Caenorhabditis elegans: one gene and its partner. The protein of the gene in region 1 purifies or fractionates together with the protein of each later gene. This does not show direct contact. Each region holds a gene or a part of one and is shown on either strand. Other genes may lie near its edges.

The links. Proteins that work in one complex are often made in the same cells at the same time.
Region 2: the proteins of clh-3 (region 1) and gck-3 purify together in Caenorhabditis elegans (affinity purification with western blotting, with the first as the bait; one study listed by BioGRID). This does not show direct contact.

What each region holds. Positions count from the first base shown.
Region 1 is NC_003280.10:7,219,608-7,227,543, reverse strand, and holds the start of clh-3 (Chloride channel protein), read left to right. Parts: upstream 1-1,895; coding exon 1,896-1,956; intron 1,957-2,203; coding exon of another isoform or gene 2,204-2,237; intron 2,238-2,295; coding exon 2,296-2,390; intron 2,391-4,489; coding exon 4,490-4,585; intron 4,586-4,907; coding exon 4,908-4,983; intron 4,984-5,037; coding exon 5,038-5,157; intron 5,158-5,347; coding exon 5,348-5,613; intron 5,614-5,667; coding exon 5,668-6,041; intron 6,042-6,086; coding exon 6,087-6,273; intron 6,274-6,311; coding exon 6,312-6,512; intron 6,513-6,565; coding exon 6,566-6,844; intron 6,845-6,892; coding exon 6,893-7,145; intron 7,146-7,194; coding exon 7,195-7,411; exon of another isoform or gene 7,412-7,418; intron 7,419-7,457; coding exon 7,458-7,666; intron 7,667-7,720; coding exon 7,721-7,812; intron 7,813-7,890; coding exon 7,891-7,932; intron 7,933-7,936.
Region 2 is NC_003283.11:17,963,738-17,968,500, forward strand, and holds the start of gck-3 (Germinal center kinase 3), read right to left. Parts: upstream 3,027-4,763; coding exon 2,840-3,026; intron 1,582-2,839; coding exon 1,397-1,581; intron 1-1,396. UniProt on the Caenorhabditis elegans protein: Plays a role in osmotic stress responses by regulating ion homeostasis and by controlling cell volume via the phosphorylation-mediated inhibition of the chloride channel clh-3.

The DNA of each region.
Region 1 (7,936 bases):
CTGTGCTATATTTGAACAGCATTATTTTGAGTAAAATCCATCACAGATGTTCAAATATTTTTTCGTCAATCGTTTTGATGTCAACTTTATGTTCCTGTCACGAACCGTCTCTATTTCTCTATCTTGCAATCCGCCCGAAGAAAACATGATCCGAAATGAAGGCTTGTTGATAATGTTGTGACATGGAACACGATTATCTCAAATCTATGGGAAAATGTGATACTTTCGAAGGAAAAAGAACAGTTTCAATTTGAAAGAACGGGGGAGCATTGGAACAAAGTAAAAAGCAAACATTGTTGGATGACATTAGAAGAAAAAGAAGAACCTATTTCAGTTACAAATAGTAGTCTGTGTGTCCGGTGTGTGCTGCTGGATAAACAAAAAAGTCACAAAACTGTGCAAAAAGTATGAATCATCCATAACTTGGAGCCAACCAAAAAACTTCTAAATGAAAAAAGTACAGATAAAGAGGACGAGCAGTATCTTGTGATTTTTGTCTGTTCTGTTTGAAGGTTTCGTTTGTGTCGCTGAGTAGTTTACAGGGAACAAGAAACTAAAAAATTATTTCGAATCGGGAATTATAAAACGATGAAAATTGTTCCAAAACTTTTAAAAGACGAGATAGTTATTCAGATAAAGGCCTGAAAAGATAAAAACTAAAACAAAAAAGTCAAGAAGGGAATGTTCTGAAACTCTGTCACAAGAGAATTAGTCATAGCTCATGGTGGGTTTTGATGAGCTGGTTTTCATAATTTTCGTACCATACTTCTCCGTTTGAATAATTAATTTGTTTGTGTTTTTTCGAAAATGCAATTGACCTCTCTGTTCTTGATATGAACTTCAATTCCCATTATTTTTCAGTAAATTTTCTTCAAAGAAATTGGATATCAGGATGAACATTCTAATAATGAGCACGAAAAACTGCTTTGTTTCAATGAATGGGACATTCTCATGTATTCAAATAGAATATGAGCTGAAGTTTGGAAATATTTGAGTTCAATGTTAATTGTAACTGGTTTTGTCCAATTTCTATTTTACTGATGAAACCCCAATAGCAAGAAGTACAATTGTTTAAACCTGGAAAAAGGGCCCTCGGGGTATTCCTAGATGTTACTATGGAACCAAAAAATTAGGTCTCACTTTACAGTTTAGCACATTTTTGGGAGATCAAATCAAGTGACGCAATCTGACTCGCATATTTATTGATCTATGCCCCGGGGGTTTTCCTAACCGTTTTTTAACGGAACCTTCCTCTTGGGAAGTGACCGAGTGTCCTATTCCATGCGTTCAAACAGTTGTCATGTAAACAAATCACATCATCTTTTTGGCGGCGGTTTATAAAAACGGTTTGCATGAGGCTCTCATTCATTTTGTTTTTATTTTTCAATTTATCTTCTGGTCAGCAAAATTCAAATCTGTGAGCTAAGTTCTTCTCTGATTAGTCACTGTGAATTGCATTTGAAAAACAGTTTTTATGCTTATGTTTTGTATTCTCGAAATAAACAAATAATTTCGAAACTTTAGTGTTAACATTGTTATCCGTAAATCATGCCGTGTAAAATTCCACGTTGCAAAATGTTTCCACATTTTACTTACTAACTCTGAAATTATACAAATATTTCTCATGCTTTTTTTTTATTAGTTTAAAAAATCTTTGAAGTGTTCGTTTGCGTGTTTCTCAAAAAAACTTTCATTTGATCTCTGTTTAAGTGGGATAAAATACCGATGGTAGGTACTTGTAACAAGCACAAGCCGGCCGACACTTGACAGTTTGTTGGCAGTTTCTCAGCTCGCCTACACAAATCGTTTGCTCGTTTTAACGTGTTCTTTTTTATCCATAAACTCGATCGTTTTCGCAGATTTTATAACTATGTTATTTCAGCAATACTGTGCTTATGCCCTCTCGGACGCCTCTTTCCAAGATTGAATGGCAAAGCCTGTTGCCTCTTCCACCAGGTTAGTATATTTTGTGAATCTGACGAAATCCGTAGGTATGTTTATAACAACCATCTATTCAAATGAATAGTAATTTAAATTAAATTATGATACGCGTGAAAAAACAATGTGAAATAGCGAATAGTTCCCGTGAATGTCTTATCAAAGTTTATTTTGAACTTGATTTCGTTAATCGTCATATTTCGACACAGACACAGTCTCACCCCCCCCCCCCCCCCCCACATTTTAACCATCATCTATCTCGTCGATGCGATACAAATTGAAATTTTCAATTTATGTCGGTTAGTAAAAAACTTGTTCAAATCACTCTCACTCAACGAATATACAGTATAATTTCAGAAAAATCCGAGAAGGACGCGACTATAGAGAACAATGAAGAACTGGAAAAGATTCGGATGCCTGCGGGCAAAGAATACGATCTACAGCCGGGTTCGGTGAGTGTACACATAGATTGATCAAACTATCAATGATTTTCAAAAAAAAAAGAAGAACATTTTTTTATTCGATGAGTAGGTCATTCTGAACAAAGAAGTAAACTTTCGTAATCATTTTTTTCGAACTATTTTCTCATTTACTTTGAAAATTTTTGTCATTAAGTTTCTCATCGTATAGTCTCCTTCAATGCTATAGGAACCCTTTGATTTTCATGATATTCAAATCCTGACAAACTTTTTAAAGAAAAAGTTATATTTCAAGTACAATTTGTTTCGTTTTATAATAATTTCAAACAATTAACGTGTTGATTTTCACAAATTTTCACAAAAAATTATTTTCTAGCATTTGTTGATCGGTTTTCAGTGTATTCAAATTGTGAGCTTGTATCTGAGCTCTTGATTTTTCTCAGCCTCAAAAAAAATCAGAGGATGAAGCTGACATTTTATGTACTATGAGTAACACAAACGGTTTGTTCAACAAACAATTTTATTCGAACTACATCACATTTTGGCGTTTTTTTGCACCTAACAACGTTGCAACGAGTAAACGTTCGTCGTTTGCAAACAGTTGTTTTCCCGAAAAACAACGTTTGTGATTGTATCAGTGCACACTACTTATCTATGAGCTAACCGTGGAGCTTCAGCGTCCAAAAATGTGCAAAATTATTTTTTCGTCTATACTTCAATTGTTTAAAATATCACAAAACGGAACGGAAAATAATTTGAATACCCGAAAAAAACTTATCTGATGTTGACTTTTTTAATAGGACTCAAAAAATGTTTGACATGAATGCAAGAATACATTTATTTTTTAATAAAGCTTCACAGGTTTTAGAAATAGTTGAAATTGAGGGGGATCCTATAGTAGTGACGTGTAGTATTCTTTGAAGCAGACAATTCATACCCACTTCTTCCCTAGTAGTATTAGTCATCCTGTTCAGTTTTTAAAAATCAGAAAATTTTCGTTTTTTTTGTCTAGTTTTCTCGTCACATCTGTGTTTCTTTTCGCCCTTTTCGCACTGACCGTTCATTTTCATAATCCTCTACGCCGGTTTCAGAATTACCGGTAAAGAGCAAAAATGACGTTGTTCGTGCCATTCTTTCTCTATCCAAACTGGTTTTTGGAGAGAGGCAGATTCAGAAATAAGCATGTCCTATGCCGTCTGTTTTTTGGTAAAATCAAGAGCAAATAATTTGAATAATTCACCAAATGTTCCACTGGAAAGCTTTCCATTCGTTTTTCAGTCGAAGCGTCCCTGAAAAGCACCGATGACCCCGTCGAACCTATTCAATGTTTGCTTTTCAAAATTCTAAAAGTGATAATAAATTCTTGTCACTTGTCATGAAACGAAAGCATGTGTTGCGAACTGGTCTTTTCACACTTTACATTTTTGAACCTTTTACCGTTTTTGATGGTCTCCAAATATTTGTTCGTTTCCAGCCGACCTTATCAATCATAGATGTAACCCCAAACCTTTTTCTTCGGAATAGATGTTTCCACGTTTTCTTCTACAAACGAACTATTATTAGATGTCTTAAATCAATTTTAGTTGTATTTATTCTATTTTATTACTTTAAGCACCCTCATTACATATTGCAAAAAACCCTCCTCTCTCTCTTGAAGTTTATCGGTTTTGTTGTTGTTTTTAAACGAGGCGGAATCATTTTTCAATCGGATCAACTAGAGAACGAACGGTTCATGTGACGTAACAATATGTGTGCTCCCGAAAAGAATTCAGATTTAAAGAAATTCGAACTTGTAGAACGATTCATTTTTCTGTGTGTAGACAAGAGCAAACCTCAATCGGACTCCTCCCACTATTCTTTAAGCGCCTTCCTAACACCCTTAAATTTAGCGATTAAAATGAAAAGTCTGCTAAATGTCTAAACGTCATCAAGTGCTACAGTAATTGTTTCTCATTTTTTGAATCATCTGACTTGCTTCTTCAATCACAAAAAAACGGTATTCAATCAATCATTGTGATCATCAAATCGTTCGTTCGAATCACTTTCGACTTTTAAAATTTATTTGATTATCCATGTCTATTGTAGACATTTTCTTATAAACATACAATTTCAAGTCAAATTCTCATTTTCAGCATCTCGGTGTCTACAAAACAGTTCGTGGTCTACCAATTGACGAGGATTCCAAAAGTATGGGTATTGGTACAAAAATATTATCAAAAATTGAAAAGGTGAGTACGTAGCAAATTTTGATGTTATTTTTTGAATAGCAACACCAGTTAATGGGAGGAGAGGTAATGAAAAAATAAAAGACAAACATAAACCCCCGGAGTGGGAACTGTTATCAGATGATGGAGAAGGTGGGCTTATAGCATCTGATTATTGATTTCTACTGCTAATCCACTATGTTTCGATTCAATATTTTAGATGAAAATGGGGTATGTTTAACCATTTTTTGAAATCAAATTACCAAAAAAGAACGAATTAGTCAACGTCATATGTCAAATGTTATGTATCTTCAAAGTACGTTCATAATTTCCTTTCTTTTTTCAGAACAAAACATCTGATGGCCTTACGATACCGCTCACCCCGACTACACAAAAACAATCATCAAGTTGGTGTTCTTTTGGTAAGACAATGATCTTGAATTCTTGTATTTTTATAATTGAACTCTGCATTTCAGAAAGTATCAAAACATTTTTTCGGACGGTGATCCGTGATTGGATCTTTCTGGCACTACTTGGATTCATCATGGCATCTCTATCATTTGGAATGGATTATGCTATTCTGAACTTACAGAATGGTTCGTTTAATTTTTTGAATTTTGGACAGCTAGACTGGAAATGTTATCTCAGTTTTTCAAACGTCATTTCTTGATAAGAAAACTAATCATCGGTCAAGAAACGGAAAACCACTCAGAACTAGGAACATTGGACCTGATATATTGCTCTTGACAGAAATTGGCAGAAAATAGAAAAACGTTTTTTTTTCAGGTCAGATGCGGTTATTCGATTTGGTCAAGGAGTATCACTTCACTTTGGCATATCTCGTTTGGGTTGGATATGTCGTTGGACTCATTCTCCTCTCTGCAGTATGTGCACATTATATTGCTCCACAGGCGATTGGATCAGGAATTCCAGAAATGAAAACTATTTTACGAGGAGTTATTCTCAAAGAATATCTTTCAGTACGAACACTTCTTTCCAAAATGATTGGACTTACATTATCACTTGGAAGTGGATTACCAATGGGAAAAGAAGTTTGTTTTTAAAATATTAAACTATTACTTTTATACACACTTCCAATCTTGCAGGGACCGTTCGTTCATGTTGCATCCGTAGTAGCTTCTCAACTAACTCGTTTGGTTCACGGATCATCTGGTGGAATATTTGAAAATGAGTCTAGAAGTGGTGAAATGCTTGCAGCTGGATGTGCTGTTGGAGTTGCTTGTACATTTTCTGCTCCGATAGGAGGCGTGTTGTTCTCAATTGAAGTCACATCTGTCTACTTTGCTGTCCGAAACTACTGGCGTGGTTTCTTTGCTGCCACGTGTTCGGCTACTCTTTTCCGAATTCTAAGAATGTTCTCTGTATCTGCAGCAGTTACCGTCGAGGCCCATTATCAAACAAACTTTCCGCCACAAAATGTGTTTCTCCCACAAGAGCTTCCTATTTTTGCACTTATCGGGTGAGTAAGTATGTTCTTTTTGTTTTCAAAATTTACATATTACAGATTGGTTTGTGGTCTTGCTGGTTCAATATTTGTATATCTTCATCGACGGACTGTTCTTTTTTTGAGAAGAAATTGGCTTGCCAAAATGATATTTCAGAAATACTGGCTCATCTATCCCATCTTCATCGCCACTTTCATATCTTCTTTGTCGTTTCCATTGGGACTCGGGAAATTTATGGGTGGAGAGGTAACAAACTTATTCATCTAGATAGTTATTTGGCAAAGATATTTCAGGAAAGATTCAGTCACACAATGAAGGAATTTTTCGTAGATTGTGCATGGACTGCTCCACCAAATGATTCATATGCTTGTCCAATGCCTACATCAAATGCAACAAGTTCGGATAGTTTTGACATTCGTCACTGGAAAGGAGATAACTATGATTATTCTCCATTTGTCACTTTATCTTCATTTCAAGTAGTATACGTATGTTTTCTGAGGACCTAATTTTGAATTGAAATAATTGTTTTTATTTTCAGTTTTTCCTCGCAATTCTGGCTTCTACTCTGCCTGTTCCGTCCGGTATTTTCATGCCAGTTTTTGTTCTTGGTGCTGCTTTTGGAAGGCTTGTTGGTGAAGGTGTATTCTCATTAGATCCATATGGTCATATCAGTGGAGATATACAATTCTTCGTTCGTCCAGGTGTTTATGCAGTTGTCGGTGCTGCAGCATTTTGTGGAGCTGTCACACATACAGTATCTGTTGCTGTTATTGTTTTTGAGCTTACTGGACAGCTATGTCATCTTCTACCCGTGATGGTGAGTTCTCCCAATTTTTACTTTAATCATTTTATTATTTTATTTCAGATCGCTGTTCTTATTGCCAATGCTGTGGCTTCGTACCTTCAACCATCAATCTACGACAGCATAATTCGTATCAAAAATCTACCGTATCTCCCTGATATTCCCCATACAACGTCCCTTTATCATCAAATGCTCATTGAGCAGTTTATGATTTCTCCTCTTGTCTATATTGCAAAAGATTCAACAGTTGGTGACATCAAAAGAGCACTGGAAACAAAAACCCGGATCAGAGCTTTTCCTTTGGTTGAAAATATGGGTTAGTCACTTAGAATGTTTATATCCCATTATCATCAATACATCTTCAGAATCACTAGCTCTTGTCGGTTCGGTCAGTAGAAGTCAGCTGCAACGATACGTCGATTCTCAAATTGGAACAAAAGCCCGATTTGCAGAAGCAACTCGTAGAATCAAACAACGTTTGGAAGATGAAGAAAGCGAACGAAAAAGAAGAGAAGAAAGTAAATCAGATGATACAGAAGATAGTTTGGAAACGACAGGTGCTGGAGAGAGAAGAGCTAGTCGGTATGAAAACTTCTAAGTTTCAGTTAAAATCATGATTATTTTTCAGATTTTTGATTGTCCCTGTTGCTAAAAACGGACCTCAAGTAGCGAAAAATGAAACGCTGACTGGATTGAGCGAGGAAAATGCGCGGAAGATTCTAACTGTTGAGGAGAAGCAAGCGCTATTTGATGCTGCATCATTGGCAACTCCGAAACGAGAAATGAGTGGAAAAACAATCAATCCTGTGCATATTGAATCTCATCATACAATTGGAGGTTAGATTTCTTTTTTTACATTGTGTTAAAAATAACTTTTATTGTACTTTTCAGACATTTTCCGATCAATTACACATCTTAGTTTTGGGCGACAAAACTTTCCGAAGAAGAACAATCATAACGAGTTTGATTTATTTGGAGAAGAGGTTTTCATTTATAAAGTTTATCTTGAGTTTTATTCAAAATATCAAAATAATTCACCTGTGATGATTTAAACATTGCAGAATCAAAAAAGCATTAACGATGATCCAGATTTTATAGAAAATGTGA
Region 2 (4,763 bases), on another chromosome or scaffold:
CTGCAAAAAAATTGTGGGAATTTTAAAGGTAGAGCCGACCGAAATTTGAGACTTTTGCTTTTTTAGACCCAAATTTGGTCCAGATCTCCGAATTTTGTAATGAGACATTCTGAAAATTTCTCAAAAAAAAGTTATGGCGGTTCAAAGTTTGGCAAAATAAAGCCCATATTCAGCTAAAATCAATATTTTTTCCAACTTCTCAGTGTCACAATGCCTGGAACCTAATTCTTATTTAATTATCACTTTTTAATAAATATTGTGGTTTTTGAGTGGGCGTTTATTCGTTGATTTAGGTACATTTATGGTCTTTGGGGTACAAAATTTAACTTTTATTTGTGCCCCACTGACATATGTACTTAAATCAACGAATAAACGCCCACTCAAAAACCACAATATTTATTAAAAAGTGATGAATAAATAAAAATTAGGTTCCAGGTATTGTGGCACTGAGAAGTTGGAAAAAATTTTGATTTTAGCTAAAAATGAGCTTTATTCGGCCGAACCGCCATAACTTTTTTTTTGAGAAATTTTCAGAACGTCTCATTACAAAATTCGGTAGTTTTGGACCAATTTTAATAAAACATTAATAAAACAAAAGTCTCGATACTCACCACCTTAAAGTAAAATTAGGTGAAAATCAACATTTTCACCACTTTTCTCTTGAAAAAAACGAGATTTTTCGGAAAAATTTAAATTTCCCGCCGAAATTTGGGGTTTTCTAGCGATTTTTCCGGGTTTTTCCAAAGACAAATTAAAATTTTGGCTGAAAAATTGAATTTTTCAGATTCAAATTCGTTTTTCTGAAGGTGTCCAGTTGAAAAATGTGGAATTTTTACGCAAAAATTCAATTTTTGATGGATTTTTCGTTATTTTGCTCATTTTTGAGAGGAAAATCACGGCTCACTTCGTGGTGAGACCCGTCGAAAATTTTTTTTCGGGGGAAATTTAAATTTTCTGAGAAAAAACAATTTTTTGGCGGGAAATTCAAATTTTTTGAGAGAAAAAAAAATTTTTTGACGGGAAATTTAAATTTTCTGAGAAAAAAAAATTTTTTTGGCGGGAAATTTAAATTTTCTGAGAAAAAAAAATTTTTGGCGAGAAATTTAAATTTTCTGAGAAAAAAAAAATTTTCGGCGGGAGATTCAAATTTTCTGAGAAAAAAAAATTTTTCGGCGGGAAATTCAAATTTTTTGGCGGGAAATTTTAATTTTTTTAGAAAAAAAAATTTTTTTTGACGGTTAGAAATTGTAATTTTCGCCATTTCGCCACTTTTCCGGAGATTTTCAGTACAAAAAGTGGATTTTTTTTTGCGTTTTTTTACCCGAATTTTTGTCTAAAAATTCGGCTTTTTTTGACATAGAAATTGTAATTTTCAGTCAAAAAAGAAGCAGCATACAGTAAAAACGGTAGCAGTTGCTCCAACTCCAATCGACTCATCCAACTTATAAGCCGACGGTTCTGTTGGCCATCGATCGGCCGGATTAAGCTGTGCAACAAGTGCAGCTGATGCTGCTGCAGCTGCCGCAATCGGTGATGATACTTGAGGTGGTGGTGGTGGTGGTGGTTGGGATGGTTGTGATCCTGCAACAACAAAAAAATTAGGGGTGAAATTCATTTTTTGGGCCTAAAAATTGCGCGATTTTTGAATTTTCTCACCTTTTTTGTAATTTTTTTTTTGGTTTTTTCAAAAAACCATTTTGGTTTTTAAGGTAAAAATTGAAAATTTTTACATGGAACATTCAATGTTGTATGTACTTAAAAATGTAATTTTTAAGCAGAAAATTCGATTTTTTTTCAGCTCAAAAATTAAATTTCGTTGAAAAATTCGACTTTTTACACATTTAAAAAGGTAATTTTTACCGGGAAAAACGTTTTTTTTTTAAACAAAAAAAAATGTATAAAAATCGAATTTTTAAACTAAATTAAAACATTTTTGGAGTAAAAATAAATTTCAAATGAAGAAATAGAGTTTATCTGCCTAAAAAATCATATTTCCTCGACAAAAATTGAAAATTTTAGAGTAAAAATTGAATTTTGTACTCAAAAATGACATTTTTAAACAGATTTCGTTGAAAAATTCGACTTTTCACAGGAAAAACTCTTTTTTTCTTCTTGAAAAATCAATTTTTCCGATTAAAAAAATTTGTTTTTTTTTCACAAAAATCGGAAATGTAGATTTTATAAATTTAATTGATTTTAATTGAAAATATTAGGGTTTTCCAAGTGAAAATTGGTTTTTTTTATGTGAAAAATCAAATTTTTCAGCTAAATTAAATTTTTAGAGTGAAAATCGAATTTTTCCGCCAAAAAATTATATTTCCATGAAGAAATTGTACATTTTAGAGCAAAAAAAAATCGAATTTTTTATTAGAAAAATTAAATTTGATCGTAAAAATTCGTTTTTTTTTCTCAAAAATGTAATTTTTTAAGGAGAAAAATTGATTTTTCACTACAAAACTTCAATTCCGTTGAAAAATTCAATTTCCTACAAAAAAAATTTATTTATACCCAAAAAACCAATTTTTCAAAGCAAAAAATACATTTTGTACCGGAAAATTTCAATTTTATTGTAAAAATTAATTATTTTCCTCACAAAATACCAACTTTAGAAGGAGAAAGATGTAATTTTTACTTTAAAAATTCATTTTTAACTTAAAAAAATTATTTTCGATTTTTTAAATTTAAATAAAAATTAAATTTTACTGGACCTGCAAAAATAATCGGGAAACCCCAATTTTTATTGAAATTTCTACTTTTTCTTCGGAAAAATTATTAGATTTCAAGCTAGAAATTGCCATTTTTCACATTTTTCGACCGCAAAAAAAATCCAAAAAAGCACCATGAAGTGTCGACGTTGATCCGATGCTCGATAATGTATCAGTGTTAAATGTTCCAGTTGTTGTCTGTGTTGTCGAGTATTCTGATGTTATTGTTGAAGCATTTGCAGCTGAATGAGCAGCTGCTGCAGAAGCTGCTGATGATGTAGTTGTAGTATTCGTGTTTCCTGCCAGATTCGAAGAGCTCATTTTTTATATTTTTGATTTATTATATATTAATTTATATTGTTGATGATGATGATGATGTACACAGGACAACACACGTATGAGACTCTGAAATTTTTTAATACAATATTAATAAATTAATTGATATCATTAATCAGTAATATCATTAAGGATATAGTAGATTTGAAAAAAAAAAAAAAAAACGGCTGGAAACTAACTTTTTGTAATCACAGTCTAATTTTGGGTCCGATAGTTCACTGCAACTTTTTCCTCACGAGGGACGAGGAAAAGTGGTTTCTAGGCCATGGCCGAGGGGCCGACAAGTCGGCCATTTATCTTGCTTTGTTTTCCGCCTGTTTTCTTTCGTTTTTCATCGATTTTTTTCGTTTTTTCTTAATAAAACTGATAAATAAATATTTTTGCAGATGCTAAAACAATTTCCAAGTGAAAAAATTATGTATTCAGTGGGCAAGCAGCGGTGAAAGAGGGCAATGTAATATGATGGATTACGGGAATACAAAACCTAAACTTTTTCTGAAACATGATACATATGATGCTTAGATGCTGAAATTACCTGATTTTCATAACGAGACCGCTGAAAAAGTTTTGAGGTTTTCAAAATTCAACTTTTTGTGCGAAAATCTCGACTTTTTCACCAAAAAAGTTGAATTTTGGAAACCTCAAAACTTTTTCAGCAGACTCGTTATGAAAATCAGGTAGTCTCAGCATTTAAGCAGCATATGTATCATGTTTCAGAAAAAGTTTAGGTTTTGTATTCCCGTAATCCATCATTTTACATTGACCACTTTCACCGCTGCTTGCCCACTGAATACATAATTTTTTTACTTGGAAATTGTTTTAGCATCTGCAAAAATATTTATTTATCAGTTTTATTAAGAAAAAACGAAAAAATCGATGAAAAACGAAAGAAAACAGGCGGAAAACAAAGCAAGATAAATGGCCGCTGAAACTTGTCGGCCCCTCGGCCATGGCCTAGAAACCACTTTTCCTCGTCCCTCGTGAGGAAAAAGTTGCAGTGTCAGTTGAAGAGGAAAAAAAAAGGAAGTTTTCACTCAAATATGACTCAAAAATCTGGATTTTTGAGCTTAAAAATTCAATTTCCAAAGAAATTTCCAAGTTATATATACGTAAATGTTTTTTTCGCTAAACAAAATTTTCAGCTCCGTTGAACATTTTGGTTTAAGGCCGAACAATATTTAAAGATTTTTCAGGCTTGAAATCATCCAATTTTTGAGCTAAAAAACGTGTTGCTTTTAGCTCGGGAAATTGAGATTTTATAGCTTAAAAATTATTTTTGAGATTTTAATAATTACACGACGGTGTTTTTCTGGATTTTTGCTCCAAATAGTAAAAATTACGGATATCTTAAGTTTCAATTGAAATTTTTGCGCGCTAAAAGTTCATTTTCAGCCAATTTCTCTCTAGAATTTCATTTCAAAAAAACCTTCAAATTGGGGAAAATCGTATTTTTACAAGAGTCTTTTTAGTCCGAAAACTGGATTTTCTAAATAGTTTATTTACCAAAAAAAATCCAGCTTTTCGCTGTTTTTTTTTTTTGTAAAAATACTTCATTTTGAAGACTTTCGATCGATTTTCTTCATTTTTAGGGGGAATTTCTACCAGTAATTTCCAGCGAAATTTTACATGGAAAAAAGCTCCAAATTTCAAATTTTCAGGAGCAGGAAAAAAATCATAAAAAAATCAAAGATATTTTCAGCCGGTACACATTGGAAACCGCTC